Stegostoma tigrinum: one gene and its partner. The protein of the gene in region 2 purifies or fractionates together with the protein of the main gene of each other region. This does not show direct contact. Links are inferred from orthologs where the notes say so. Each region holds a gene or a part of one and is shown on either strand. Other genes may lie near its edges. The genes, in order: sirt1 and brinp1.

Region 1 (16,601 bases), on a different chromosome or scaffold from region 2:
CTGCAGGGGTGCTGAAGATGTCAAACAGCTTGGTGTCCTTCCCTATGCCCATCAGGAATCTGGACGTGACGTCCAGTTGATTCCCCCACCCGCTGTCCCCATGCCGGATCTTCCATCTGCATCGATGATGCAGTTGAAGTCTCCGCCTAGGATGACCGGCCTGGATGTAGCCAGCAGGGGTGGAAGCTGCTGCAGGACGGCCAACCGCTCACTCCGTACCGCTGGGGCGTACACGTTGATCAGCCTCAGGGGAGCATTCCTGTAGGTGACATCAGCCACTAGGAGGCGCCCCCCCCACCACCTCCTGAACTTGAGAGATGGTGAAGTTGCGCCCCCGCAGCAGAATAGCCAGGCCCGAGGAGCGACAGTCGTTACCCCCCGACCAGATCGAAGGCCCACAGGTCCAGGCGCCGGACCATTTCCCGTACCTGCTGAGGTGCGGTATCCTGCACTCCTGCAGAAACAGGAGGTCTGCCTTGACGGTGGTCAGGAAGGCCAACGTGGACACACATCTTGCAGTGGACTTGACGCTGCGCACATTAATGCTCGCAACTCGTACGCCCATTGTGGGCAGTGACCGCAGTACCCTCCCCAAGTCCAAGGTCCAGCACCTCCATCTGTCCCTTCATGCCCATTGCCCAGGCTAACTGCTGGACGTTCTCCGGGCTCAGGAAACCGTCCGTGCTGCCTTCTGGGCGGCATCCCCCCATCGGGGGTACGGAGGTGGGAGAGTCCGGCTCTGGGTCAGGCTGGGGACATGCTGTTTCCTCCTTCCCACCTGAAAGTTCCGGGCGCCCTCCAGGGCCCCAGCAGCGCATGGCTGGGTGTCGGAGGGAGCCTCAGGATGCCTCCCATCACTTGGAATCGGGGTGCCGCTTTCCTTCTCCCTTGAGATCTTTAGCTTCTTCTTTGGGCGGGCCTCCTCCAAATCTCCCTCGTCAGAAGAGCTCTTATCGCCCCCCTGTACCTGCCTTTTCCTGCCTGATGGTTGTGGTGCCAGGGCCTGCCGGTGCGCCTTCCTCCTTGCTTTCTGGACCATCGTCCACTCCCCTGGGTCACCTGTCAGCTCCTCCATCGACTCCGGGTTGTCGGGGGGGTGGGGGGGGGGGAGCGGAGCCTGCAGGGGCGCTTTGCTGGCCTCGGGTCCATCTTGCGGGGCTGGGCCGTCCTGCACGACCTGGCCCTCCTGCACATTAGGTGGGGTCCTTGTAGGGGCCTGGTGCCTTCCTCTCCTCCGGGGGACTTGCCCCGCATTGCCCCTGCCGGTGACCTGGGCATAGGTGGTCCCCCACTGCGGGCATGCCATATAGAGGTGGCCCGCTTCCTCGCAAAGGTTGCAGCTTTTCTCTTGTGGGCAATCCTTTGCAAGGTGTCCGTCCTCCCTGCAGTTCCTGCAGATGGTGGCTTACAGTCGGCCGCCACATGACTTGACCTCCCACAGGCATGGCAGACTTTAGGTTGCCCTGCGTAGGTCAATTAGCCCTTGCTCCCGCCGATCGCGAAGCTGGACGATGGGTGTATGATGTTCCCGTCCGAGCCCGTCCTTAGCGTCACCCTGACTGCCTCTTACTGGTCCAGATCCCGAAGGGGTCCATGATGTTGGTTAGGTCCCCTTCCACATTCACGTACCTTCCAAGGAAGGTCAGGACATCAACTGCTGGCACATGCAGGTTGTACATGTGTACAGTCACCATACGGCTCCTCTGCACCGGCATCACGAACAGCGGGACAGCAGTCAGTACGGAGAGGGGGCCCTCACCTCCTTTCTCCTTGAACACCTCCAGGAAGCGCTCGCAAAGCTTGGCACTCCTGAAGGTCACATCGTAAAAACCCCCTCCGGGGAAATCCTGCAGGCAGTAAATGTCCGCAGCAGCAAACCCACAACAGTCCAACAGGACCCTCTTCATGAAGAAGGTGCGGTCCACAGGTGCACCTTCATCACGGTAACGCAGATGGTGTTCCGGACCCCCTGACCCGGGGCATGAGCAGTCGCTGCAGCCATCGTTGCAGGTTGGCTGCTCCCCTGAACCAGCGTTAGGCCGAAGCCAGCATTAAGAACCACCGGTTGCAAGGGTGCACAGCCAACCTGACGTCTTCCTTCCACTTCCAACACAGTTGTGCTCTCCTCTTTTCGGTCCACAAAAGAGTGGGTCTTTATTTTGTTCCGGATGTAAGCTGGTTCACTGAGCTGGAAGGTTAGTTTTCAGACGTTTCGTCACCATTCTAGGTAACATCATCAGTGAGCCTCCGATGAAGCACTGGTGTTATGTCCTGCTTTCTATTTATCTGTTTAGGTTTCCTTGGGTTGGTGATGTCATTTCCTGCATTGGTGATGTCATTTCCTGTTCTTTTTCTCAGTGGATGGTAGATGGGCTCCAAATCAATGTGTTTGTTGATGGAGTTCCGGTTGGAATGCCATGCTTCTAGGAATTCTTGTGCGTGTCTTTGTTTGGCTTGTCCTAGGATGGATGTGTTGTCCCAATCAAAGTGGTGTCCTTCCTCATCTGTATGTAAGGATACTAGTGATAGTGGGTCACGAACCATGAACCATAAACCATAACCACTCTCCCCTACATCAAAGACATTTCCAAAATGACTGCCAGGCTACTCAGACCTCTTGGCATCACGGTGGCCCACAAACCCACCAACACACTAAAACAGCAGCTAATGAACTTAAAAAACCCTATACAGACAACAAGCAAAATGAACGTCATCTACAAAATACTTTGCAAGAACTGTGACAAACACTACATTGGACAAACAGGCAGAAAGCTAGTCACCAGGATACATGAACATCAACTAGCCACAAAACGACATGACCCGCTATCACTCGTATCCTTAGATACAGATGAGGAAGGACACCACTTTGATTGGGACAATACATCCATCCTAGGACAAGCCAAACAGAGACACGCACAAGAATTCCTAGAAGCATGGCATTCCAACCGGAACTCCATCAACAAACACATTCTTTTGGAGCCCATCTACCACCCTCTGAGAAAAAGACAAGGAACTGACATCACCAATGCAGGAAATGACATCACCAACCCAAGGAAACCTAAACAGATAAATAGAAAGCCAGACATAACACCAGCGCTTCGTCGGAGGCTCACTGATGATGTTACCTAGTATGGTGACGAAACGTCTGAAAACTAACCTTCCAGCTCTGCGAGCAAACTCACATCCAGAACCTCAACCTGAGCTACAAATCTTCTCAAAACTCGTGTGTAATTCATATAGATCATCCTTGTCGGTATTTTGGATGTAAGAGTTAGTTATTCCTGTGAACGGTTTTTTCCTTTTTACAAAGAAAGGTCATAAAGTCCATCCAGAACAGTGATTTAAATCCAACTTCCTTCAAAGAGCAGGTGACTGTGGACCTTGTGGTTAATGGAAAGATGTGTATACAATTCTGTTCACAATAGACAGGTTAAACATCTAAGATTATTAGCTTTGTTATGAGCTCAGAAGAGCTTAGGATGGGCAAAATGTTTTTGAATTTGGTTCAGAAGACACCATTTTCTCCTGAAAGGAGGATTTGGAGCAGTTCAGAGAACTATCACTTCAACAGGATTTAGTTTGTGAAATTTCTAAACTAGCGTTTGGTTAGTAATCTACAGGCTGTTGGTGCCAGGTTTAAGCTCTCAGATTTGTGAAAGGTTCACATCAGCAGATTTGAAAATGGCACATTGAGGTCTTCATAGTCCAAAAGGAAACCACCAGTCAGTTAAATACAACATGAGAGAACTGAGATAGGGAAGTAATTTCTCTAGACTTCAATCTATCGATCAGACAGTGTCACAAAACAGGTTGAAGTGTTGTTTTGCTGTGTGTTTAGATCTCGCTAGCTGTATTCTGAAGGGGTTGAAAGTTTTAGTTAGTTAATGATTAAATTCTCAGTCATTCTCATGGCAAATGGGAACCAGATGTACAAAGGCAGACGATAAGCTTAAGAGCTGCACTATCCGCAACATAGAGCCAATGCTGTGAGAGACACAGATGGTGTTTGTAAAAAGTGTGGGGAAAAAGTACAAACATAGCAACTGTACAAAGGGGTCGGACTTTCTGGGAACTGACCACAAACAACGGAATTCGGTTCTTGCAAAGCTTCACCAAAAAGCAGCAAACCAGATGCATGTGTAGTCCACAAAGCTGATCTCATCTACGCGTGGAAATATCTTCACTACTTTTGCCCCACTAAACTCTTTTGTAACTTAAGAAGAGCTCCAACACATCACACTCCAAACACACTAACCAACTGCCACTTCTCTGGCTCAGTCACTCACCTACCATCTGAACCTCTCATCCACCCCATCATGTTATCACTTCCTCGCCTATCACTTTACCCCCTCACTCACCACCTTAACCCTCCTGTCACTCAATCCCTCATCTTCCATAACACACCACCACCCCATCCCCTCATTCTCCTGTCACTTGTGTTTTACCCACCTGCCATCTGGGGGGGGGTGGAGGCAATTAGATCAGTTGGAGGGAGCATTGGTTTGTGCTGCAGAGCATTCATTTCCCACATCAGCTGAGGTTACCATGAAGATCCTACCTTCTCAACCTTGCACCTCACCTGACTCTCAGGTTAAACCTACCGCCGACTGTCTCTATCCAGTGAGTGAGTGTCCCTGTGGTGAATGTTAACTTAGGCATCTGCCGCAACGTCCCAAAACATCGGCAATCGCTGGAAAAGCTCAGCAGGTCCGGCAGCATCCGTGGAGAGAAATCAGAGTTAATTTTACTGGGCGAGTGGCGCTTCCTCAGAACCAAGCTCAGTTCTCACCTTGACCCCGAACGGTAACTCTGATTTCTCTCCACAGATGCTGCCGGACCTGCTGAGCTTTTCTAACAGTTTCTGTCTCTCATTTACAACTTTTTTCTGGTTTTGCCGAAACAACACACCAGCTGACCGTATCGCCCATTTATTTTAAAGACTTACCTTCACTCAACAGTTTCTCTTTGGGCATTTAATGGAATGAGGCAACTCATACCATCAAAAAGGAGCCCTAGTTTCCACAAGAGGCTCTCTGATGAAGGGTCTAGGCCCGAAACGTCAGCTTTTGTGCTCCTGAGATGCTGCTTGGCCTGCTGTGTTCATCCAGCCTCACATTTTATTATCTTGGAATCTCCAGCATCTGCAGTTCCCATTATCTCCGAGTGCCTTGTATTGCTTGGGTGAGGAGTGGGGTTGCCGAATGGGCAAGAAACAATTTACCCAAGAACATAGCAGAGACTTAGGAATTGGGAGGGGCAGAAGTGAGTGAGCTGAGGCCAGAGAGGTTAGGACACAGTGTCACATCACTACCTAGCCCTTGGAGGGTTTGAGACTCAGCAAAATATCGATGGTAATGACAAACAAATAGGCCTTATAGTTTATTTCAGGTTTACAGCATCTGTGGCATTCTCACTGGATCACCACCATAGTGCCAACTACTGCCTTCAGTAGGGTATACGTATCAGAGATAATGGGGACTGCAGATGCTGGAGAATCCGAGATAACAAAGTGTGGAGCTGGATGAACACAGCAGGCCAAGCAGCATCTTGTGCTCCTAACATGCTGCTTGGCCTGCAGTGTTCATCCAGCTCCACACTTTGTTATCTCGGGTATACGTATCTGTTGAGTGCTTATGTTAGCTCCTACAACTTAACAAGGCAACAGTGTAATGAATGAGGTAACTGACACTACTGAAGCTCCTGGTACATACATACATTACAGTTGCAGGTACTTCAGTGTTTAGGCTAAGATGAAGCTACTCAATTACAAATGGTAGCATCTTCAAGTGGCCCTGGTTAACATGGAATATGAGACCTTTATACCCTTAGGTCGCCTGGCATGATGTGGCGATGATTTCATGAGCACATCTCTTCGAAATATATTACATACAAGCTGTGAGACATAACAACAGACCATAGAAATTCAGTGCGGGACAGAACAACAAATGCTTCAAAGAAGGTTACACAGAACTGATGATGCCATCTACAAGGGAGACGAAATATTTGCATTAAAGCCAGTCAGCTCGGCGAACCAACCAACAACTCCAATGTAACAAATTATCTAACGTGGGGTGGCACGGTGGCTCAGTGGTTAGCACGGCTATCTCACAGCACCAGGGACCCTGGTTCAATTCCAGCCTCAGTTAACTGTCCGTGTGCAGTTTGCACGTTCTCCCCGTGTCTGTCTGTGTGGGTTTCCTCCGGGTACTCCGGTTTCCTCCCACAGTCCAAAGATGTGGGTTGGCCATGCTAAATTGCCCATAGTGTTCCGGCATATGTAGATTAGGTGTTATGGGGGATGGGATGCTCTGAGGGCTGGTGTGGACTTTTTGGGCCGAAGGGCCTGTTTCCACCCTGTAGGGATTCTAGGACCGAAGTTCTGACAGTGCATTCATGCCCACGCATCACACTAAGTCAGATTTCTTACAAGTTAGGTTAGAAGTCATTGCACAGGAATGAAATGTCACAAATGAACTATGTGCCCATTAGAGTTCCCATATATCACTAACCAGTTTGGCAAGAATTGGAGGATTTGCTATTTTATTATCATCATCAACAGTCTGCATTTATACATTGTTTTTAATATAATATTGATTACAGTAAAAATAGATGATCAATATCAAATCCCATCATCTAAGAGTCATTCCTGAGACCCTTTCCAGAGCAAAACACTGGTTTTAAAAAAGGACAGATATTGGCTGCTGTGATCACTTGTCCAGTTTGAGCCAAATTCATGAGCACATCAATAGACAAAGATTAGTGAGCTGAAAGTAACATTGTTCTAAATGCCACTGAACATCCTGACTGCTTCACAATTTCCTGGAAGTTACACATTGGAATCCACAAAAGAATTCTATTTCAGGAAATTGCTTTTGAGCAGAGAGAGTGAAAAATATGAAATAGCATACTATAACCAGGAAGTCTCTCTCCTTTTTCTGAAGAGGGATCCCGGCCGGAAACATCAGCTTTCCTGCTCCTCTGACGCTGCCTAGCCACCTGTGTTCATCCAGCTCCACGTTATCTATCTCAACCTCAAGATCATTGCCCAATGATAAACAACTTGTAAACTCATTGACTAAAATCCCAAATCTACAGATTTACCTTTACTGCAAAATAGAAGTCAACAATTTAATGTTTTATCAAAGATCTGTAGCTCGGACTGCATTTGGAGTTGTTGATTGGCGTGTCGAGCTGATTGATTTTCATGCAGAGACAGTAGGAACTGCAGATTCTGGAGAGTCTGAGATAAAAAGATGTACAGCTGGATGAACACAGCATGCCAAGCAGCATCAGAGGAGCAGGAAGGCTGACGTTTTGGGCCTAGACGCTTCGTCTTTTTCTGATCAGGGTAATAGAGCAGAATGCAGAAGGATAGGAAGATGAAGGAGGCAAGGATCAGTGCCAAACCAATACACTATCCAATACATGTTGTTCCTGTAGTCAATTCTGCAGGTTGTGAGGGATTGCTGGTTGGTATCACTGAGGGGTGGTCCACACAGTTGTGACAGTAACATATCCTTAATTGATGAATTGGTGAGACCTGATGAGTCAATCAGGATCACTGCAGAGCTAACCAACCAGGGTAGTGACAAGCAGGTAGGCAATAGAATCTTACAAAAGAAACATTCACCCAACACCCACTCTTTCTTTCCCTGTTAACCACCCCGACCAAACAACCTCACAGTCCCCCAGTGAAAAACAACAGAATTTGAATACAGTGGACCTGCATTTTGAAGTACACAAGATGGTTTGGAGCAGTATGCTTCATTCATAAATTATGCTTGTTTATCCTTATCATCTCCCCCGTGAACAACCGCTTGCACACACCCCTCTCCCCATCCCCACACCCACTCTACCCCTGTAACCCACACCCACCACCCCCAGCCCCATCCCCAACCCCCTTACGCAGACCTTCCACCCAACCCCCCTTATCCACACCTTCCAACCCCTTTACCCACACCTTCCATCCTCTTCCGACCCTTACCCACACCTTCCACCCGCATCCCCTTACCCACACCTTCCACCCGCATCCCCTTACCCACACCTTCCATTCTCCCTTACCCCCACCTTCCACCCCTCCCCCATTACCCCCACCTTCCAAACCCCCTTACCCCCACCTTCCACCCCTCCCCCATTACCCCCACCTTCCACCCCTCCCCCATTACCCCCACCTTCCAAACCCCCTTACCCCCACCTTCCACCCCTCCCCCATTACCCCCACCTTCCACCCCTCCCCCATTATCCCCACCTTCCACCCCTCCCCCATTACCCCCACCTTCCACCCCTCCCCCATTACCCCCACCTTCCACCCCTCCCCCATTACCCCACCTTCCACCCCTCCCCCATTACCCCCACCTTCCACCCCTCCCCCATTACCCCCACCTTCCACCCCTCCCCCATTACCCCCACCTTCCACCCCTCCCCCATTACCCCCACCTTCCACCCCTCCCCCATTACCCCCACCTTCCACCCCTCCCCCATTACCCCCACCTTCCAAACCCCCTTACCCACACCTTCCCCCCCTTACCCACACCTTCCCCGTTACCCCTTTACCCACACCTTCCACCTCCCCTTACGCAAACGTTCCCCTAAACCCCCCCCTTACCCACACCCTCCTCACCCATACTCCCCCCCACCCCCACCCCCACCCCCTCCCCCTCCCCCTCTTTGCGTACTCTTTCCCCACTCCCCTTACCCACACCTTCGATCCGCTCCCCTCCCTCAACCCCATTTTCCTCACCTCACCCTCATCCACCCAGCCCCCGGGCTCCTTTTGCGCAGGCGCGGCTGTCGGTGCCCCCTGACCCCAGGCCCACGTGACGGCTGGGGCGGTGCTGGGGAAGATGGCGGACGGCGATCAGCTCCGGAAGAGAGCCCGGCTCGACGGCCCGGCACCAGGCCCCGCTGGCACCGGGGACCGCCGGCGGAGGGCGCCTGGCGCCGAGCAGCAGGACTCCGCCACCGACAGCCGGCACGATCTGCCGCCGAGTGACAGCCCGGAGAATGGGGCGGCGCCGGGGGAAGGTACCGGGGCCTGGGGCAAGGGCAGGTGGGGGTGTGGTGTAAGTGTAGGGAGTACCGTGGAGGGTGATTGAAGCCTGTGTGCATGGGTCATGTCGAAAGGGAAGGTTGGTGTGGGAGAGGTGGTATGTGATGGTGGGCTGGGAGAGTCTGGCACAGGGGGAGTGAGGCAGGGGGTGTGTGTACTCTGGGGAGGAGAGCAGTGGGTAACAAAGGCAGACAGCTATCAAATGCAGCTGAGGTAAGGGGTGAGGTGGCAAAGGGTGGTAAGTGGGTACTGAATGACATTTGGCTGATTACAGGAAATAGGGCAGGAGGTGGCACCCTGGTATTACCATTAGACCCTGGCGTTGTACTGAGTTCAATTCCCACCGTGGCAGATGAAGAGCTTTGAACTCACCAGAGTCTAATTGCCACGAAACCATTGACCGAAAAATCTGTTTGATTTGCTGATGTTCTCTAGGGAAGGTAACTTCTGCTCTTATCTGGCCTGGCCTACATTACCCCAGTTCTACTGCAATATTTTTGAGAAGACTTGTAGCTCAGGTTGTGGATGAGGTTGTTGGCTTGCTCTCCAAATCGGTGTGTTTGATTGCAGACACTTCGGCACCCTGTAGGTAACATTGTCAGTGCGCCCCGGTGAGCACTGACAACATCATCTAGCAGGATGACGAAACATTTGCAATCAAACACACTGGTTCGGCAAGCAAATCTACAGCCTACAGCAATATGGTTGACTTTTCCCTGCTATCTACGACTGACTTGTGAAAATGACTAGAACGTCTTATGGAAGAAGTAAAATCAGACTACTACCTCATTTTGACCTAGGTACCAGAAACAGCACCAGCAAACACAGCTCTGCTGACCCTGCGAAACCCTCCTTAGATACACTGGGGGCCAGTGCTAAAACTGGGAGAGCTGTCTCACACTCACAGAATCATGTCTTGTAGATGATGTCCCACTGTCAGGCAGACGCAGCAAAGCTGGTCACACAGCAGTACATATTTGGGGTGGTGTTGTGGGAGTGGGGGATGTGTTTGGGGAAGGGTGATGGGGCCAGGGAAATTACCCTGGGTGTCCTCAACATTGACTCCTCATTGGAGTCTCAAGGCACTAGGCCAAATGTGGACAAAAAATTTCCTGCTGATTACCACATGCCATCCTCCCTTGGCTGATGAATCAGTACTTCTCCATGTTAAACAATACTTGGAGGAAGGAATGAGGGTGACAAAATGTACCCTGGGTGTGGGATTTCAGTATCCACCACCAAGAATTTCTTGATAGCTGCACTACTCATTGAGCTGTTCGGATCCTAAAAGACATTGCTGCTAGACTGGATTTGCAGCAGGTGTGAGGGAATAAAACAAGAGAACATAGCTGACGTTACCCTCACCAATCTCATCCCCTCAAATCTGCTATACCGCAGATGCATCTGTCCATGACAGTATTGGTAAGCGTGACCACCATACAGTCCTTGTTGAGACAAGGCCTGGTCTTCTTGTTGAGAATACCCTCCATCGTGTTTGTGTGTCACTAAATGAGATTGACTAGATCTCACAACTGAAGACTGTGCATCAGTGAGACAACATGGATCATCAACAGCAAGAGAATTCTGTTCGAACACAATGTGCAACCTCATGGCCTGGCATATTTTCCCCACTCTGGCTTTGACATCAAGCCAGAGGATCAACCCTGATTCAAGTGCAGGAGGCCATGCCAGGAACAGCAGCTATCATTCCCAAAAAATAGGTGTCAACTGGTGTAATGACGAAGCAGGGCTACATGTGTGTCAAACAGCATCAGCAGCACGTGATAGACAGAGCTAAGCAATTCCACAACCAACAGATCGGATCTAAGCTCTGCAGTTCTGCCACGTCCAGAACTGAATGGTGGTGGACAATTAAACAACTCACTGGCGGAGTTCCATCCTCAACAATGGGGATGGCTACCACACCTGTGTGAAACATAAGGCTGAAGCATTTGCAAAAACCTTCAACCAGCATTGCCAAATGGATAATCCCTCTTGGCCTTCTCCAGTTGTCCTCAACATCATATGTCAGTCTTCAGCCAATTCAATTCAGTCTGTGCAATATCAAGAAACAGTTGAAGACATAGGATCCTGTGAAGGTTCTGGGTCCTCACAACATGCCGATAATAGAACTTTGAAGTTTGCATCACATATGGGGTGATTAAGAAGGTGTTAGCATGCTTGCCTTCATTGCGCAGACTTTTGAGAATGGGAGCTGGGACATTACTTTGAGGCTGTACTGGACATTAATAAGCCCTCTTCTGGAGTACTGTGTCCATTTTTGATCTCCCTGTTAAAGGAAGGATATTATTAAACTGGAGAGGGTTCAGAAGAGATTTACCAGGATGTTGTGGGAACATAGGGCTTGTGTTATAAGTAGAGGTTGCATAAGGTGGGACTTCTTTGCTAGAGGAGGTTATTATCATTATTTTATAAATCTCTATGGGAACTATAGTTAAGGTGAATGGCAGGTGTCCTTTCCCTAGGGTGGGGATTTCAAGTCGGGGGGAGCATATTTTTAAGGTGAGAGGAGAAAGATTTTAAGGAGACACAAGGGTTTTTGTTTACACACTGTGGTTTGTGTGTAGAATGAACTTTCAGAGGAAGTGGTTAATGCGGGTACGGTTACTACATTTAAAAGACACTTTGGGTAAGTACATGAGTAAGAAATGTTTGGAGGGATATGGGCCAACCTCAGGCAAGTGGGACTAGATTAAGGTCAGCATGCACTGGTTGGACTGAAGGGTCTGTCTCCATGCTGTTTGACTCTGGAATTGAAGAAACATGTACTTGAATAATTAGGTTTTAATAAAATGTACAGACGGGGAGGGGCAAAGCAAGGGGAAATAATTTCAGGAGGAAGTTCTAGTCAGAGATTAAAATCAAAGTTCTGCCATCAATAGCGGCACACAAGGTGGACGGACGTAGTGAGGCCTTTGTTAGGGGAACGAGCTTATCTATATACAGGAAATACAACAACCGAAACTATAAAAATAATTAAAAGTAGAGCTGCTTAAAAGTTATGTTTATCCTAGGTTACAGTTTGAAGAAGGAAGGGTACAGATGGCATAGTGCAGTTTGAGTATCAGAGTTTAAAGAGGCCCTGTGTGCCTGGGTCAGTTAGTACATACCAAACTAATCTAGTCCCATGTTCCAGCACTTGTCCCTTGGTCTTGTATGCTGTGGTGTTTCAATTACTAATGTACTTTCAAGTACTTCTTAAACGTGAGGGTTTGAATTCCAAAACCTTTGCAAACAATAAATTCCAAACTTCTATCACCCCCTCAGTGATAAACAGTGATTTGAGCAAAGAATTTAAGCTGTGGGAGAATCCATATCCAATTTAAATACAACCTTAAGCCATAATTGGAAATAAAAAGCCCCATAAATTACAGGTGCAGAGAATTCTGAACACTGTCTTTCTCAGCGTTGCCAAAAAAAACATGGCTGATATCAAAAGCTGTTTGTGGACTTGGATTGCTGTTTACAAATTGGCTGCCAGCTTTCCGACATTTTAACATTTCAAAAAGTATTCCTGAAAAAATGTACATTTTGTTGCAACTGCTGCTTGCAAACTTAGTAAGGGTCCAGCATTAAATGCAATTCTGTGATTGGACAGTATTTGTTAATCTTTTAAAACTGATAACTGTTCAGGTTCTCATGCTGTGCACTGGAATCTGTGTTTATTAATGCACAGGCCCCTGTTCTTTCGTAGAAGCCACACAGTGTGGAAGCAGGCCATTTAACCTATCCTGTCCCCAGGGACCCTCTGAGGAACATCCCACCCAGTCCCTGTAACCCTGCATTTCCCATGGCTCACCCACTTAAACTGCACAACCCTGAACGCGACAGGCCATTTAGCATGGCCAGTCCACCTAACCTCCGCATCTTTAGACTATGGGAAGAAACCAGAGGACCCGGAGGAAACCCAGGCAGACATGGGGAAAATGCGCTAACTACTGAGCCACTGTACCCCTTTTACAGGCAAAAGGAGCATGTGCACTAACTTTGTTGGTTTCAACTTTCAAAATAGGTGACTGCCATTCTCTAGTGCATTTTTGAGTCAATGTCTTGGAGTCAATTCCGAGTCTACTTGCTTGGTTTAAAATTTAAACAAAGCCAGCAGTTAACTGTCAGTCATGAAGTACTCCATTCTCCACAGTAGTTCCTGTCTCCATGACTCATCAGTTCTTTCAAAGTGTAGATATTTTTCGTTTACTTAGGTATTTCCTGCAAATTGCATTCTTGCATACAAGGTAAAAAGTTTCAACAAAATATGGCCTTTCAATGATTACAAATTCTATATCACCAAATGACTTGTTCAAAAAGTACTTCATTACTAGACAGTTTGGAACATCCTGAGTTTATCGAAGTTGCTTTATAAGTGCAGTCTTTTTAGTACTTTTAATTGAGAAGCAGTTTCAGTAATATTCAGCTGAAAATTTATATGTAGAAACAGCTCATAACTGTCACCAAAATATTCATGACGATAATGCAGCCTGATGATTTTTTTTTAAAACTGGTGACTTCTGTTTTCTATCATGACTTTGTTTGATATTTTGGGTAAGGGATAGACCATTTAGGACTGAGATGAGGAGGAATTTCTTTGCTCTGAGGCTGGTGAATCTTTAAAATTCTCTACCGCAGAGGAATACAGTGACTGACTCACTGAGATAGATAGATTCTAGTTACTAGATACATTGAGATTGGAAGTATAAGAAAATGGCATTGATGTAGAAGATCAGCCATTGTCAAATTGAGTGGCAGAGAAATTCCAGGGGACGAATGGCCTATTGCTGCTCGTATTAATTAGAGAACCATAGAGTGATACAGCATGGAAACTGACCTCTCAGTACAATTCGTCCATGCTGACCACGTATCTTAAATTAATCTAGTCCCATTTGGCAGCATTTGACCCATATCCCTCTTAAACCCTTCTTATACATATACCCATCCCAATGCCTTTTAGATGTTGTATTTGTACCAACCTCCACCACTTCCTCTGGCAAGTCACTCCATACACACAACATCCTCTGCATGAATAGGTTGCCCTTTCGGTCTCTCTTAAATCTTTCCCCCTCACCCTAAACCCATGCCTTATAATTATGGACTCCCCCACCCCACTTGTCTATTTACCCTGTTCATGCCCCTTGTGATTTTATAAACCTCCATAAGCACCCCTCAGCCTCCAATGCTCCAAGGGAAAAGAGCCCCAGCCTAGTCAGCCTCTCTCCCTCGCTCAAACCCTCCAACTCTGGTAACATCCTTGCAAATCTTTTCTGAACCCTTTCAAGTTATGCACTGTCCTTCCTTAAGCATGGAGACCAGAATTGAATGCTGTTTTCCAATAGTGGCCTAACCAATATCCTGTACAGTCACAACATGACTTTCAAATCCTACACTGAATGCACTGATCAATAAAGGCAAGCATACCAAATACCTTCACTGTCCTGTCCACTGGCTCTGCACTTTCAAGGAACTGTGAACCTGCATTCCAAGCAACAGTCCCTAAGACCTTACCCTTAAGTGCATAAGCCCTGCCTTGGCTTGCCTTTCCAAAATGCAGCACCTCGAGTTTATCTAAACTAAATTCCGTCTGCCACTCCTCGGCCCATTGGCCCATATGATCACCATCCTTTTGTACTCTGAGGTATCTATCTTTGCTGTTCACTACACCTCCAATATTGGCATCATCTCTAAATTTACTAACCATGCTCCCTATGTTCACATCCAAGTCTTTTATATAAAATGACAAAAAACAGTCAACCTAGCACTGATCTTCGTGGCACACCACTGGTCAAAGGCCTCCAATCTGAAAAACAACCTTCCACCACCTTCTGTCTTCTACCTTTGATGCAGTTCTGTACCTACATGGCTAGTTCTCCCTCTATTCAATGTGATCTAACCTTGCTAACCTGTCTACCATGAGGAACCTTGTCAAACGCCTTACTGAAGTCCATACAGAACACATCCACGCCCTTGTCCTCTGCAATCCTCTTCATTACTTCTTCAAAAAACTCAGTCAAGTTAGACACAATTTCCTACACACAAAGCCATGTTGACTATCCCTAATCAGTCCTTGCCTTTCCAGATGCATGTAAATCCTGTCCCTCAGGATTCCCTCCAACAACTTATACACTGCCCATGTCAGGCTCACCAGTCTATAGTTCCATGGTTTTTCCTTATCACCTATTTAAAAAAGAGACCCCATGTTAGGCACCCTCCAGTCTTCTGGCACCTCAACTGTGGCTATCTCAGCAAGGGACCCATCAATTACTTCCCTAGCTTACCACAGAGCTCTAGGGTACACCTGATCAGGACTTGGGGATGTATCCAACTTTATGCATTTTAAGACATCCAGCACCACCACCTGTGAATATGGACATTTTTCAAGATGTCACTATTTATTTCCACACGCTTTCTATCATCCATATCCTTCTCCACAGTAAACACTGATACAGAAAACTCATTTAGTATCTCCCCCATCTCCTGCAGTTCCACACAATAGCAGCCTTGTGGATCTTTAAAGGGTCCTATTCTCTCCCGAGTTACTGTTTTGCTTTTAATGTATTTGTAGAATCCCTTTGGATTCTCCTTAATCGTATTTGCCAAAGCTATTTCGTGTACCTTTCTCGCCTGCTTGATTTCCCTCCTGCTTTTATACTGTTCTCGGGATTCACTCAATACCCGCTGTCTAAAGCTATCATATACTTCCGTCTTTTTCTTCACCAACAGCTCAAGTTCTGTAGTCATCCAGCATTCCCTACACCTACCAGTCTTTCCCTTCACCCTAACAGGAGCATACTGTCTCTGGACTCTTGTTATCTCATTTTTGAAGGTTTCCTATTTTCCAGCCACCCCTTTACCTGCAAACATCCACCCGCAATCAACTTTTGAAAGATCTTGCCTAATATGGTCAAAACTGGCCTTGCTCTGATTTAGAACTTTAACTTTTGGATCTGGTCTATCTTCTTCCATCATTATTATAAAACTAGAAGATTATGGTCACTGGCCCCAAAGTGCTCCCTCACTAACATCTCAGTCACCTGCCCTGCCTTATTTCCCAAGAGTACGTCATGTTTTGCCCCTTCTCTAGTTAGTACAATTCACATAGAGTGAGAAAACGTTCTCATACACCATTAAATTCCTCTCTATTTAAGTGCGTAACACGATGGCAGTCCCAGTGTATGTTTGAAAAGTTTAAAATCCCCATCCATAAACACCTTAGTATTCTTACAGATAACTGAAATCTCCTTTCAAATTTGTTTTCTCAATTTCCTGTTGACTATTGGGGTGTCTATAGTATAATCGCAGTAAGGTGATCATTCCTCTCTTACGTCTCCATCCTACTCAAATAACTTCCCTGGACGTATTCCTGGTAGCATCCTTCATAAGTACAGCTGTAATGTTATCTGTCATCAAAAACGCCACTCCACATCCTCGCTTGAGCTCCTCCCACGCCCACACACCACCCCCCCCCCATCCTATAGCATCTATACCCTAACATTAAGTTGCCAGACCTGTCCAACCTGAGCCATGCCTCTGTAATAGT
Region 2 (16,359 bases):
TCAACCAACCAAACTAAAAAGAGCAGACACTTGCACTCTTAGCAACAATTGCAGCTTGCAGTTCGGTAGCACTTTTAGTACAGTTACACACCCTTGTTATCAAAGTGAGCATTACCAAGATGAGCCACATTGGGGCCAGTAGCTAAAATCTTGGTAAACGCAGAAGCTGAAAATATGCTGCCCATGGCGTAGCCACAAAAACTTGAAAATCACATGAGCTCAGAATTTAACAAGCACAGATTTCTCAGTGGACCTTGACAATGTTACATATAGAACATTACAGCACAGTACAGGCCCTTCGGTCCTCAATGTTGTGCCGACCTGTCATACCGATCTCAAGCCCATCTAACCTACACTATTCCATGTACGTCCATATGGTCATCCAACAACGATTTAAATGTACCTAAAGTTGGCGAATCTACTACCGTTGCAGGCAAAGCGTTCCATTCCCTTACTACTCTCTGAGTAAAGAAACTACCTCTGACATCTGTCCTATATCTTTCACCCCTCAATTTAAAGCTATGCCTCCTCGTGCTCGCCGTCACCATCCTAGGAAAAAGGCTCTCCCTATCCACCCTATTTAACCCTCTGATTATTTTATATGTTTCAATTAAGTCACCTCTCAACCTTCTTCTCTCTAATGAAAACAGCCTCAAGTCCCTCAGTCTTTCCTCGTAAGACCTTCCCTCCATACCAGGCAACATCCTAGTAAATCTCCTCTGCACCCTTTCCAAAGCTTCCACATCCTTCTTATAATGCGGTGACCAGAACTGTACACAATACTCCAAGTGCGGCCGCACCAGAGTTTTGTACAGCTTCACCATAACCTCTTGGTCCCGGAACTCGATCCCTCTATTAATAAAAGCTAAAACACTGTATGCCTTTTTAACAGCCCTGTCAACCTGGGTGGCAACTTTCAAGGATCTGTGTACATGGACACCGAGATCTCTCTGCTCATCTACACAGCTAAGAATCTTACCATTAGCCCAGTACTTTGCCTTCAGGTTACTCCTACCAAAGTGCATCACTTCACACTTGTCTGCATTAAACTCCATTTGCCACCTCTCAGCCCAGTTCTGCAGCTTATCTATGTCTCTCTGCAACCTACAGTATCCTTTGTCACTATTCACAACACCACCGACCTTAGCGTCATCTGCAAATTTACTAACCCATCCTTCTACTCCCTCATCCAGATCATTTATAAAATGACAAACAGCAGCGGACCCAACACTGACCCTTGCGGTACACCACTAGTAACTGGTCTCCAGGATGATACACCACTAGTAACTGGTCTCCAGGATGAGAAGGGGTAAGGCATTACAGGGCTTTGCAAGTTTTCAAAGATATTTTTAAATCAACCTGGTCAGACATGTTCCAACACATTGGAGCAGGTGGAATTTGAACCCAGGGCTCCTGGTCCAGAGGTGGGGAATTAAGCTTGAGCGGCCTTTGTTTTAGTGCCAGTGGGAGAGTAGGAATCACTTTTTTTTTAATCCATTGACTTGTTATAGTTATTTTTGTTATGTCAACCTGGTCAGACATGTTCTGACATACCTACAGGGCAGGTGAACCTGAACCTGCTGGATAAGAAATAAGGACACTACCATTGTGCCAGAAGTCTATTACACTTTAAAAGTGTGTTAGCCTGTTGATGGATATTTCCCGTTCAATGCCTGCTTCATGTTGTCATCCTGAACAGACCCGCTCGGGATAAAATGTTGGTGTTGGGAGTTCAAGAGATCAAATACAGGGAGGGCCTAGGGCCAAACCTGCTGTCAGCCTGAATAAAATAATCAGTTTCTAAAAATATAAAACCAACCAGCAAGAATTAACACTGATCTGTCGAATGGAAGGTTAGCCTTCAATCTGAATAAGGCAGGAATATAAGTCTAAGATAGTTAAAGCTTGTCCACACTCCCATCTGGAGGACTGTCTTTCATTTTGGAAACTGTGTCTCTGGAAGGGGTACTGCAGAGACCGACCCAGGATGTACCATGGTTAAAATGATTAAATTATTAGGACGGATTAGACTTGTATTTCCTTGAAAATAAATTGAGGAATGATCTATTAGAAGTGTTTAAGACAGTTGAAGGATATAAGAAGCCATTTCTTTCAATTGGGGTAGGATCTTAGAATTTGCGCCAGCTTTTTTCAAGGGTGTTATTAAGAATCTTTACTTTGCACAAAGATCTAGAATTCTCCCTTCAAAAAGCACTACTGAGGCAAGGTAATAGAAAATTTCAAAATCGAACTCAATAGATTTTTATTAGACAAGCCTTTTGTTGGTTGTAGAACCAAGACAGATGGATTGACTGAAGATACAGATCACCCGTGATATAACTGAATGTTACAACTAATGACAGTGACTGTCTGGAGTGTTGAAACTGGCCAAGATCAATCAGTTATCCTTGATTCTAATTCTGTGTATTTCAGGAGTTTTCAGGCAGACATTTAGAACAGAAATGTTGAAAGTGACATGTCTAGTAATGTCTAGTTGGTGCAGGTGGCTATAACTGTGACTCATGAGGTAGAAACAATAGAGAGACCTTCAGTTCCGGTACTCTTCCAGTCAATTCCACTTTTTAACATTTACTGATAACTAAACATTGTTTCTCAGAAATTAATCCTACTTGCTCATCATCAGAGTCTAGCACATACACTGTATGTTAGAAGCATGTTCACACTGATTCATTAATTCATCTGAAGCTCCTTTTTACATCAGAAATATTAACACAACCACAATAAGTCGGTTAATGCCTACATTAAACAAGTAGGCACTTTTAGTTTGTGGGAGCTGGCAAAGGATTTGTACACCAGCATTAAGCAAAATTTCTAGATTCACCTCCACCCACAGCCAAGAACTCAACAATAATCTCTTTAAGCCACTTGTACTGCAAAAACCCCTGGCTAATTATACAACTTGTAGTTTTCATTAAATGAACAAAGTTTCTTCACTCATTCATTGACTGTCTTTTTTGCCTTTTTAAAAATGTACCTGTGAGCATTCCTCCAACCTGTAACAACAGAGAACAGGAAAATGCTTCATTTTTCAAAGGCATGTATTAAGTAACAGAAACCCCTGGCAATTTTCATCCCTGATTTTCAATTTGGCAGCAGAAATTCTGCTCTGTGGCATCTGTGGGAGATGCCAAGTTGCAAAACATTTGCAGCGTCACAGTTTGCACGGTCGACAAAGCTTGCAGGGTCCCTATACTCAGTTGCATGGGTACCAAGTACTACCATGTGAAAACAAGCTGCCCCGCTCTTGCGAATGTAAATGCAAGACACACACACACACACACACACACACACACACACAGAGGAAATGAAAAAAAAACACAAAATAAAGGTCACAGTGATTGGACTTGTGATTAAATTATTCAGAGAATAAGATGATGGGTAATACAGTTTTGAGGGTGGCTGTGCAGGGGTTTTGTGTTACATTTTAAGCCTTCAGTCATCAAGAATGGTTCTCATTTTGTCAGCTTCTTTTCGATAAAATCAGAAAATGGCATTGGACAATCAGCCAGTTAATGATGTGAGATTAAACTGCTGGCGAGAACTCATAGCTAAAAGCCCATTCTGGTTATAAATTGAGGAGGGTGAGTAAACAATCTATTTGCAAGTCTATCTGCACCAGCCACATTCATCACTGCTACCTGAATAAATTCTCGCAGCAGCTTGCTGCTGGTTTCTGTGCGCGCAGCACTGCTCAGTTTTTTGTAGACTGCAAGGCTTGTGCTCCACTGCAAGATGAACCAGAATCACACAGACACAAAACAAAATCACAGAGCTTTTTCCCAGGGCCTGCTGCGCGTGTTCAGCGTATAATACAGAGAGGATGGATTTCCATTGAATGACTCCCTCACACTGATAAGCAATAGACTTACCTCTGCTATAGATCACCGTCTTATTTCTCACAGACTGGCCAAAGTGCGCTTGAAAGTGATTCAATGGGCAACAGAACAGTCAGGGTGCTTACAGGCTAACACTGGGCCAGATGTGGCAGCCACCAGTGCGTGTTTATTTCTCTCTCCTCCCTCCCTCCCCCTCTGCTACCCACTCTATTCTGAAGGACAGTGAAACTTCACAGCACTTGTGAGCCACACGGTGGGTTGCACCCCCCCTCCCCCTCCACCGTGCAGTCCCAGGCACATTTTCTCTGTGGTTACAGGGGTTTTGCACACAGAACGCTGCCTTCCAATTCAAGAAGTCCACTCGCCCCCGGACAGCCTCGAATCCAAATGCGCCCCATTCCCCAGGACACATGGTCACCAGGTTAAAACCAAAAAAAAACCCATCCGCTTGAAAAGGAATCACTTTGTGATTAGAAAAGAGGAAGGAGTGGATTGATGGTGAACGTGATACCAGACACTGGAATATGCTGGAATATGATTAATTCCCTTTAAAATAAAAACAAAGAACAAAAATTCAAGGGAGCTACGTGGAGTGAGGAACAGGAAACCAGCCAGTACCGGGCAAAGGCAGGGGGACAGGGCAGTATTAGGCAAAGGCAGGGAGATAGGGCAGTATTAGGGAAAGGCAGGGGGACAGGGCAGTATTAGGGTAAGGCGGGGGGACAGGGCAGTATTAGGGAAAGGCAGGAAGATAGGGCAGTATTAGGGAAAGGCAGGGGGACAGGACAGTATTAGGGTAAGGCAGGGGGACAGGGCAGTATTAGGGTAAGGCGGGGGGACAGGGCAGTATTAGGGAAAAGCAGGGGGAGAGGGCAGTATTAAGGAAAGGCGGGGGGACAGGGCAGTATTAGGGAAAAGCAGGAGGACAGGGCAGTATTAGGGTAAGGCAGGGGTTCAGGGCAGTATTAAGGAAAAGCAGGGGGACAGGGCAGTATTAGGGAAAAGCAGGGGGAGAGGGCAGTATTAAGGAAAGGCAGGGGGACAGGGCAGTATTAGGGAAAAGCAGGAGGACAGGGCAGTATTAGGGTAAGGCAGGGGGACAGGGCACTATTAGGGTAAGGTGGGGGAGAGGGCAGTATTAGGGAAAAGCTGGCGAGCAGGAAAGCGGGCAAGGCAGGTCAGCAATTCTGCACCAGGGAAAGGCAGTTGCACATTCAATGTGGGTGATGGGTTGGGGGTTGGGGAATGGGCAGGTTAGGGCGAACCAGCATTGCACATTAAGAATAATTCCACCTTTCTTGACATCAATCAGTTGGTTCGGTCAGGTGGTCTGTGGTAGTCAATGATCTGGGAGTAGGTAGTTTGCTCAGTACCCACCCAATCAATCATTAACTTGTCAACGCTGGAAGGCAGGAGATTCAGAACAGACTGTGCTGTTTGCATCAATCTATGGGATCGCCAAAGAGATGGCATGTTACGTAATCTGCATGTTGCAGGATAAATCGTCCCTTTCACGTGATGACCCTACAGAATAAACTATAGGTGTATTTTCTTTTTTTTTGCCGAATAGTTGTCATTTAAAGAGACACTGAGCTCGTCCACAGCAAAACCTCACTCCAGTCACAGGTAATTTGGATAGAGTAACGGCTCCCCCTAGTGGGATAGCATCGCCTTTCTGCAGATCCCGGTCCCTTGTCTCACATCCATGAAAACTTTTAAAAAAGGAATGTTGGACTTTACAAAATTAAGCCTACCTCTGCAGCAGCAAAAAGTGGTGACAGAATATTTCTATTTTTAAAAAAAAGCTTTTTAAAAAATTACATGGTAAGTGAGATACTGTAGTACAAGATTAATAAAAACAGAATATTTATACGGAACAGAACTTCCATTAAAATGCATCCTTCACACGTATAAAAAATAAACTGCTTACTCGATTGCAAAGTTTGCATGAAATAAGACGCACGTATTTAAAATATGGTTGATTTTTTTTCCCAATTTCAAATTCCCGTTAGTTCAAACCCCCTACAACTCCGTGTTTGCATTTCGCCTTCGATATATTGCACACTGCACGCTGTTCTCCTTCCTCCAGCCTCGAGCAGGTTTCTCTCTCAGCAGCTCACACCTTGACCGTAAACATTAAACACCATTTGTACCAGCCCCGCTCTGAAACATGCAGCAGACGCGCAGGTAAGAGGAAGGGCAGGGGTTGTAGATGGCTGCGATTCAGAGCGAGAGAGTCTGAAAGCACTGCAGGTACACACACCCCTTACCCTCTCCCGTCGGGTTCTCCCGACAGATCCCAGCAACATTCCCGAGCCCAAATCCAACCTGGAAAGGGATGTGGTGGCTGGGGAACACAAGCGCCGCTACACATACACAGAGCCCGGCCGTTCATTTGTTCAGTCACACTGCAGCTCTCAATCTCAAGCACTGACCATCCGCACCACCCCCTCCCGACCCCATCAAAATATTTTATCGTGTTAAATATTTTCAGCCCTCTCTCTCCCTCCTCCAGCGGCAGCAGAAATGTCTCACCTAATGACCGTTCTCCTGGGCGGCTAAGATGCACAGAGACCCGGTGTCGAAGCAGCTCAGTATAAAGTTGCAGCCGACCCTATAGTTCCAGCTCCGGTTCGGGCAGGGACCTGGGAAGCTGAAGGCGATTGACGAGGAGAGACAGAAATCCCTTCTTTTCATGCCGGAGCGATGAGACTTTGAGGCGGGTTGTTGAGGATTGATATATTTAAAAACAAAATAAAAATAAAACCGAAAAGGGGAAATCGCTCATTATCGACCGTCCGCCGAGACTTGAGAGACCAGGAGCACCAAATACAGTAACATTCTCGAGTGTCTGTGTGTGGAAAGGCTGTTCGGATTGGGAGCTCCGAGCGTGTGAGAGGAATCTGTAGTGAATGAGAAAGTCCTGTACTGTTGGAGACAGACAGAGAGAGGAGGGACTGAGATGGACTGAATGAACCGGGAGCCACAGAGAGAGAGAGAGAGAGAGAGAAGGGATAGACTGAAGGAGGAAGGAGATTGCAAAAAGAGATGAGCAGAATGAGAAAAAGGAGGCGGAGAGACGGGGCGGGATGGAAGGAGGGGAAAATTGCAGACTCCCTCATACACAAGCTGCAAGCAGAAATTGATTGGCAGCTCGGATCAGGGAGCTGAACGCGCTGTGTTTATTCCGCCTTTGCCCCCCCGTGGGTTCGTACCCTCGGGAGGGGGTGGGTGTGATTTATTTTAAATTATAAGAAAGCGGGACGTACACCAAGTGAAACATCTAGAGACAGAGATTAAAGTCATTAATTGCAAAATCTACACGAAAAACATGATTTTTTTTCTCTTAAAAGGTGTTTTGGAGCGGGATCAATAAAAGGTGGGTTGAGAATTTCTGTAATTCTGTTTTTTTTAAAAGAGGAGAACCTAATGTTTAAGTCGGTATTAGAGTCTTATCTGCGAGCTGTAGGCGATGCAGACAGGAGGGAACAGTAATCGATTGGGGGAGAGAGAGCGATGGGGACACTAAACCCTGGAGACACAGGGAGAGAGCTGCAATTTAGCCAGAAACGATTGGCAAGTCGCTGAAGCAGATTAGAGAGAGAGAAACTCCAGGTTCTGATTCCAATTCCTAAATCACATCAAGCAAGCACTGTGAAGTGGATCTTTGGAAATCACAACTGATTCTGTTACCAGCAGACGAAGTTTAAGATTGTTGTGTATCTTTTGTCAATAAAAACAAAAACTCTGGAATTGCTCTCACGACCTGTCCAACTCTAGGAGTGACTAGTGACTGAGAAGCTGGCAATGAGGAAGGGATTTTGTATATGTGTGTGTGTGTGAGGGGGGGTCTGTCTGTAGCCTGCCGTTGCCAGTCACCGGGGACGGAGTGTGTGAGCCGGTGAAAAGTTCACTCTCTTCTCCGGCGCTAGCAGAATGCAGTTTAACACCATCCCACCCCCGTGCCGGGGGCCTGCGAGTCACTTTAGTCTAGATCTCAGTCGGAATTACCAACTCTGAACCACGCCAGGAACCTGTATCCACGTTGAGTCTGTATCCACATTAATTTTTTTTCTGCAGAAAATATTTTTTTTCACATGACTGTTTCCCGCGCAATGCACTGTCGATGTTTGCCTGCATGCAACGATTTCTGAATGTATTACTTTCTGCTGAATAAATTACTGTTTGCAAAACGAAGCCTTGAGGTTTGCACGCAGGCAGGGCGGAATGTTTCAGTATTCCGGTCAGAGGATCCGTGCTCACACGGCATCATCGCCTTTATCCCAACTTTAGCTCCGGACTAGATGTTCCTCTCTCCAAAGCGAATCCAAATGGGCAATGGGTTTGTTCCCCACCTTTCACAGATACCAAATGGAAGCCAGGGTTTAATATAAGATTCAGGACCAAAACCAGACGTCGCTAGAAAAGCTCAGCAGGCCTGTGGCAACATCTGTGAAGAAAAAACGTCAGCGTTAAGGGCTTTCAATTCCTGATGACCCTTCCTCAGATTGTTTGGCTATCCATAGTGTAATGACGGTAACGAGCCATTTGAACCTCATAGAATAGGAATTCCCTGATTGGGGCTGTTAATTTGTTCCAATGAGGGAACCCTGGCTGACAGATAGCAACGGAAGTGTCAGGGTTTTTGCGCACTATGAGACCTAGCTCTGAGGGAGCTGGATCAGTACCAAAGACACTCCATGTGTAAGTGAAGGGGGATCTTGGTGACTGGATGCCAGTCTCTTTGGAGTTATGCCACTCGGTTTCATTATTCCCTTGCCAGTTCCATTGTGCTGGCCGAAGGTAAATAAATGCATTTACACATCATTGTCATGAAATCACAAGAGTGAAAAGCGACTGACCGCAGGAAGTGCTGGGCAGAACTGTACAGAGATCTGGAGCATGCAGTCGAGCCAACAGTCCTGCCAACCTCATGGAACAAGCTGCCTTCCTCTGTCAGATTTGAGAGCCATGCGTAGCTAATGCTGGGGGGATGTTCCTTCCCGTTACATTGGCTGGTCTCATGAGACAGAAACTTCCTATGTTTCTTCTTAAATTGCAGCCCCCGGGCACAGCAAGATCTCACACACGCATGACCATCCGCTGATTAAATTCAGCCCTGCCCACTGGCCAGTTCTTCATAGAATCCCTACAGTCTGAAAGCAGGCCATTCAGCCCATCAAGTCAGCAAAGAGCATCACAGCAAAATGCACCCTACCTCTTTAACCCTGCATTTCCCATGGCTAACCCATCTAGCCTGCATATCCCTGAACACTTTGGGAATTTATCACAGCCAATCCACCTAACCTGCGCATCTTTAGACTGTGAGAGGAAACCGGAACACCCGGAGGAAATCCATGTAGATACGGGGAGAACGTGCAAACTCCACACAGACAGTCACCTGAGGGTGGAATCGAACCCAGGTCCCTAACGCTGTGAGGCAGCAGTGCTAACCACTGAGCCTTGACCTTGTGGATAGTCAGACGGACACAGACAAGAAAACACAAGCTCTCCTTGAAGGCTTCTCCAAAGAACTGCATCTCCAACTACAGCAGTCGCTTCGATTGCACCACAAAAATAACGCAGTTCCTTGAAAGTGTTTTATGTTTGGGTTTTATATTGAGCTAATTTCATACATAGAAATTGAGGATGCTAATTATGCTCAATTAGTGTGGAAGTTCACTAAAATAGATAACGTGGCTGAAAAAAAGAATCCAGTTGGTTGCAGTAAAAGGAACAAGCAAATAAACATTCACAGTATTGCTGGGTGGTGATGCTTAATATAAAGAAGGAAACTGAGGGATGAATCTGTAGTAACAGCAAATAGTCATAATAAAAGTAATAGAGTAGCAATGGTGGTGGGGGGTGGGCAGGCAGTTTCTGATACTCAGTATAGGAAAGGGGAGGAATTGCAGTAAATGGCAATAAGTCAAGAATTGTACTTTGTGCACAGAACCTTATTTTAATCAGTATCCTTAAGAGCTAGATGCAGTAAAATGGGGTAGATCGAATAGGTTATTATTGGGGGGAAGCATCGAGGTAATAGTGATCATAATAAAGTTAAGGAGATAAGGAAAGCAACAAAGAAAGAAATGGAAAAATTCAGTGTTGCGATTGAAGTTCTGTCTATAAATCAGGGCATCAAGGGTTGTTGGGAAAAGGCAGGAAAGTGGAGCTGAGGATTATCAGGTCACGCATGATTACACTGAATGGTGCAGGAGTTTGATGTGCTGAATGGCCTACTTCAACCCCGACAGTCTTAAAATATTAAATTAAAAATAATGCAATTTGTGAAAGAATCCAGCAGAGATAGGCTAAAGTAGAAGACTGGACAGGAAAACAGCATATAAGCAGTGACAAGTCTTGAAGATGGAGAAAGTTCCAGTTCAAGGAGAAAAGACGACACACCCAATGCTAAACAGTAAATGAGAGCAGGTTTCCATATCCATTGCATCCCTACAGTGTGGAAACAGGCCCTTCAACCCAACAAGTCCCACCCTCAGAGCATCCCACCCCGACCAGTTCCCTGAACCCACACATTCCTGAACACTATGGCAATTTAGTGTGGGCAATCCACCCAGCCTGCACATCTTTGGACTGTGGGAGAAAACCAGAGCAGCTGGATAAAACCCACACAGATGCTGGGAGTACACACAGACAATTGCCTGAAGGGGAATTGAACCCAGGCCCCTGGTGCTGTGAGGCAGCATTGCTAACCACTGAGACACTATGCCACCCCTCACACAGAGGGTTGAAATGAATTGGAAGCATTATTGAATGTGTGAAGTAGAACTTTTGAAAGTCAACTGGACACATTTACAGGGCTAAGGGACTATGTTTGACAACTCTTAGAAAGAGAGAGCATAGAAAAATTGGGCAGAGTGGCCCATGTATGCTTTTGCAACTGTATGCGATTTAGCATAGAATTATCTGCATAAACATTCTCATGCAGCACTATGGAAAAATACGGTTGCAATTTATAATTTGGAAAATAAGTGTCAAATGGAAGTGTAGCGCACAACAGCAAGTACCCATCTCCTAAACAGATGGACATCAAATCAGAGTAAGGCTTCATTTATCAACAGGCTCTTGGTGCTGCCAAGAAAATCGTGATGATATATTTGACTGTCTGTTCCCCAATCCAGAAACAAAACTGAGAGACGCTTCGCACCCTGTCAGCTAGTCTGAGAGAAGAACTATTGGGGTTTCAGCAACCCCAGGTTATGCTATCAAAATGTTTCAAACAAAATGCGGTAATGAGCAATTCCTGTCATTGGTTTCAAAAGAAATGTTAGTGCAACATGGGGTGCCGAATATTTATGTATTCAGGAATAAACTGTCTCTTCCATTGTTGCTTTGGTAAAGGGCAGACCAGGAATGCGTGAAGGAAGAAAAATTTTTAACCCTAACAGTTCAGTTGAGATCCAATTCTTGTTTCAATCATAGAATCCCTACACAGTGTGAAAGCAGGCCATTTGGTCCATTAAATCCACACTGACCCTCTGAAGAGCATCCCACCTAGACACATACTCCTACCCTATCCTTGAAACCTTGCATTATTAGTGGAAGGATCTTTCCAACTCTTATCAAAACCTTGTTTTGCAGCCCCATATGGTATAAGTTTGGAAAATGTTTAGTCTCAAGTGATTTTCGGCCACAGTACAATGCTTCGCACACTATGAGAGATAGTGAGTAGATTTGACAATCTCAGTGGCTATAGATTGATGAAATGAGAATCAGACTTGTTAAGTCAGAACAATAACATTGTTTTATCGCTGAGTAAACCAGGTGTTTTTGCAGCTGGACTTATTTCTGTTTCTGCTACCCAGAAAGTAGAAGATTGCCAAGACCCTTAACTGGACAAAATATAGCAATTTATCCAAAAATGCAAATTAAATCACAACAATGGACAAAAATGTTTTGTCATATCAGAACAAAGTAACTTCCAGCTCAAGTTATCGCTGACATTGTAACAAACAAAATTCTCTATTGGATTACCCATTGATCAGGCCACAATATATAAACAGCAAAACATAGTTTACTGCTACCTGTTTGTGCGAGCTGTAGAGAATAGATGTTATCACCTGGGACATTGGAGGTTCTGAATCATGTCAACCAATTTATGTCATAAAAGTAGTTTTTATTTAATGTGCATAAGGAAGAAGATCTGCCATTCTTAGCTAGTCTGGCCTACGTGAGTCCACATTTACAGTAATGTGGTTGACTTAATTTCTATAGAGGACAATTATGATGTGCAATAACGTTTGTTTAGCTAATGACACCCGCATCTCATGAATGAATGTACTTTTAAAAAGTTGAGATGATCGAATACAGTTAAAGGTGATTTCTTCATCCTACCCTCGACAGTAATGTTTCTACCCTTGAAAAAAAAGGAAGGAACTGTGCGTGAATGTAAATGAAATTTGGACCAATAACTCTGCTTTTAAACATTCAGTTAACCCACTTTGTTCAAACAAATTAAAGTTTCCACTATGTAGACAGGTAGTTGGTATGAAAAATCACCCAAGAAGTGAAAACAAAAATCCTTAGGAGTGTGATGTGATAATGGGAACTGCAGATGCTGGAGAATCCAAGATAACAAAGTGTGGAGCTGGATGAACACAGCAGGCCAAGCAGCATCTCAGGAGCACAAAAGCTGACGTTTCAGGCCTAGACCCTTCACCAGAGAGGGGGATGGGGTGAGGGTTCTGGAATAAATAGGGAGAGAGGGGGAGGCGGATCAAAGATGGAGAGAAAAGAAGATAGGTGGAGAGGAGAGTATAGGTGGGGAGGTAGGGAGGGGATAGGTCAGTCCAGGGAAGACGGACAGGTCAAGGAGGTGGGATGAGGTTAGTAGGTAGGAGATGGAGGTGTGGCTTGAGGTGTGAGGAAGGGATGGGTGAGAGGAAGAACAGGTTGGGGAAGCAGAGACAGGTTGGACTGGGATGCAGTGGGTGGAGGGGAAGAGCTGGGCTGGTTGTGTGGTGCAGTGGGGGGAGGGGACGAACTGGGCTGGTTTTGGGATGCGGTGGGGGAAGGGGAGATTTTGAAGCTGGTGAAGTCCACATTGATACCATTGGGCTGCAGGGTTCCCAAGCGGAATATGAGTTGCTGTTCCTGCAACCTTCGGATGGCATCATTGTGGCACTGCAGGAGGCCCATGATGGACATGTCATCTAAAGAATGGGAGGGGGAGTGGAAATGGTTTGTGACTGGGAGGTGCAGTTGTTTATTGCGAACCAAGCAGAGGTGTTCTGCAAAGCGGTCCCCAAGCCTCTGCTTGGTTTCCCTAATGTAGAGGAAGCCACACCGGGTACAATGGATGCAGTATACCACATTGGCAGATGTGCAGGTGAACCTCTGCTTAATATGGAAAGTCATCTTGGGGCCTGGGATAGGGTTGAGGGAGGAGGTGTGGGGGCAAGTGTAGCATTTCCTGCGGTTGCAGGGGAAGGTGCCGGGTGTGGTGGGGTTGGAGGGCAGTGTGGGACGAACAAGGGAGTCACGGAGAGAGTGGTCTCTCCGGAAAGCAGACAAGGGTGGGGATGGAAAAATGTCTTGGGTGGTGGGGTCGGATTGTAGATGGCGCAAGTGTCGGAGGATGATGCGTTGTATCCGGAGGTTGGTGGGGTGGTGTGTGAGACCACTCTCTCCGTGACTCCCTTGTTCGCTCCACACTGCCCTCCAACCCCACCACACCCGGCACCTTCCCCTGCAACCGCAGGAAATGCTACACTTGCCCCCACACCTCCTCCCTCACCCCTATCCCAGGCCCCAAGATGACTTTCCATATTAAGCAGAGGTTCACCTGCACATCTGCCAATGTGGTATACTGCATCCATTGTACCCGGTGTGGCTTCCTCTACATTGGGGAAACCAAGCGGAGGCTTGGGGACCGCTTTGCAAAACACCTCCGCTCAGTTCGCAACAAACAACTGCACCTCCCAGTCGCAAACCATTTCCACTCCCCCTCCCATTCTTCAGATGACATGTCCATCATGGGCCTCCTGCAGTGCCACAATGATGCCACCCGAAGGTTGCAGGAACAGCAACTCATATTCCACTTGGGAACCCTGCAGCCCAATGGTATCAATGTGGACTTCACCAGCTTCAAAATCTCCCCTTCCCCCACTGCATCCCAAAACCAGCCCAGTTCGTCCCCTCCCCCCACTGCACCTCACAACCAGCCCAGCTCTTCCCCTCCACCCACTGCATCCCAAAACCAGTCCAACCTGTCTCTGCTTCCCTAACCTGTTCTTCCTCTCATCTATCCCCTCTTTCCACCTCAAGCCGCACCTCCATCTCCTACCTACTAACCTCATCCCACCTCCTTGACCTGTCCGTCTTCCCTGGACTGACCTATCCCCTCCCTACCTCCCCACCTATACTGTCCTCTCCACCTATCTTCTTTTCTCTCCATCTTTGGTCCGCCTCCCCCCTCTCCCTATTTATTCCAGAACCCTCACCCCATCCCCCTCTCTGATGAAGGGTCTAGGCCCGAAACGTCAGCTTTTGTGCTCCTGAGATGCTGCTGGGCCTGCTGTGTTCATTCAGCCTCACATTTTATTATTCATAGGAGTGTAACAGGACAGTCCAATAACCTGGAATTTAATGTCAAGTCTTTTTACTGTGAAGTGTTTTGAAACTACAAGCATAAAATTCTCGCTTAAATTCTGTACACGTTAGAGTTCAGAAATAAGAAGTTTGCAAAGATCCACGTGAAATGAGAGGAACCAGCTCAGACAGTATCAAATGTTTTGAGTAAATTATGTTAGGCACAGATGACAGGAATGCAGATAAAGTAGCAAATGAACAAAAGCGTATTTCGCCATGGCACACAAATGATCATCCTGTCCCAGATGGTTTACAGTGGCTGCTCGTAAAGGTAAGAGATAATTAGGAGGGCTCAGCTCAGAACTCCAATCAATTAGAAGTGGCACCCAAGTTCCACAGTTTGAAACATAAATGCAAGTGTGTGAGCCATTCCAAACACAAAGGAAAATAGTTGTGGTTGTCAGAAGTTAATCATCTAAGTCCCCGACTGTCACTGCAGGTGTTCTTCAGTGTAGTATCCTAGGCACAATCATCTCCATCCACTTCATCAGTGACCTTCCTTCCTTCACAAGGTCAGAAGTGGGAATGCCCACTGATGATCTTGTAACATTCAATACCACTCATAAGACCTCAGACACTGAAGAAGCTAGTGTACATATGCACAAAGACCTGGGCAACTTCCAGACTTCAGCTGTGAAGTGACAAGTAACATTTATGCCATGAAACTCCAAGAAATCATCATTTCAAACAAGAGAGAATATATCTATTTCTCCTTCATGACCTAAAGCTGAATACCCTACAACCAGCAATGTAGAGGTTACCATTGACCAGAAACTGAAATGAACAGTGAAAAACTGTGGCTACAGGGGCAGACCAGAGACTGTGAATTCTGCAGTAAGTAATTCATCTTTGATTTTCCCCAGCTGTCCAGCACCTGCACAGCTGAGGAGAATGAGGATAATAGTTTCTTCTTGCTTAGTCAGCTGCAGCTCCAACATCACTGAAACATTTGACATTGTGCAAGACAAAGCAGCCCGCATGTTTGGTGCTGTATTCCCTCCCTTTCATATTCATTCCCTTACCCACCAATGTACAGTGACTGCAGTGTATACATTCTACATGGTACAAGATGGAATAAGTGACCAAGGAACCAACAGCATCATCTAAACCTGTGTCCCGGCCTTGAAGAGCAAGTCTGAAGATGCACACAGACACCCACTTGCAGTTTCCCCTCAAACCCACACACCATCCAGACTTGGAAATCTCTTACTGCTCCTTTAGTGTCACTGCATTAAGATCCTGGAACTCGCTCCTCAACAGCAGCAAGGGTGTTCTTACACCTCATGGGTTGCAGCCAATCAAGAAGGCAGTTCACCACCTCCTTCCCAAGGGCACTCAAAAATAGGCAGTAAACACTGGATTAATGTTTGGATGAATAACAGATGATGCTTTGTCCTCCAGCAGCCTTTCTGGGACAGTAGGATGGTGCCACGTTGTAAATTGGAGGAGGCACCTTCAGAAGGCTTTAGAAATATTAAAACCAAGTGTGGCCACAGAAGCTGAGAAAACTCCATCATCTCTCTGTACTTGCACAATTAAGGACAATGTTGATCACATCCTATAGATCTGAACGTATTCAGAGCCACAACTGCAGATAGTGTCAAATAATCATCAAGAACTAATGTTATAGTACACAGTGAAAATCATAGAATCCCTATAATGTGCAAGTGGCCATTCAGCCCAATGAGTCCACACCAACCCTCTGAGGCGAACCCGCTCAGACCCAATGTCCCAGCCAATCCTTGTAATGCTGAATTTCCCACAGCTAATCCACATAACCTGTACACCTCTGGACACTGGGCAATTTGGCATGGCCAATCCACCTCACTTGGCATTTTTAGACTGAGGGAGGAAACCAGAGCACCCAGAGGAAATCCACACAGACATG

The links.
Region 1: the proteins of brinp1 (region 2) and sirt1 purify together in Homo sapiens (affinity purification with western blotting; 6 studies listed by BioGRID and IntAct, with this or other methods). This does not show direct contact. The link is inferred for Stegostoma tigrinum from reciprocal best matches to the Homo sapiens genes BRINP1 and SIRT1.

The regions. Positions count from the first base shown.
Region 1 is NC_081373.1:55,230,288-55,246,888, forward strand, and holds the start of sirt1 (NAD-dependent protein deacetylase sirtuin-1), read left to right. Parts: upstream 1-8,804; 5' UTR 8,805-8,843; coding exon 8,844-9,024; intron 9,025-16,601. UniProt on the Homo sapiens protein: NAD-dependent protein deacetylase that links transcriptional regulation directly to intracellular energetics and participates in the coordination of several separated cellular functions such as cell cycle, response to DNA damage, metabolism, apoptosis and autophagy.
Region 2 is NC_081382.1:10,767,550-10,783,908, reverse strand, and holds the start of brinp1 (BMP/retinoic acid-inducible neural-specific protein 1), read right to left. Parts: upstream 6,902-16,359; 5' UTR 6,393-6,901; intron 1-6,392. UniProt on the Homo sapiens protein: Plays a role in neurogenesis and brain development. May suppress cell cycle progression in postmitotic neurons by inhibiting G1/S transition.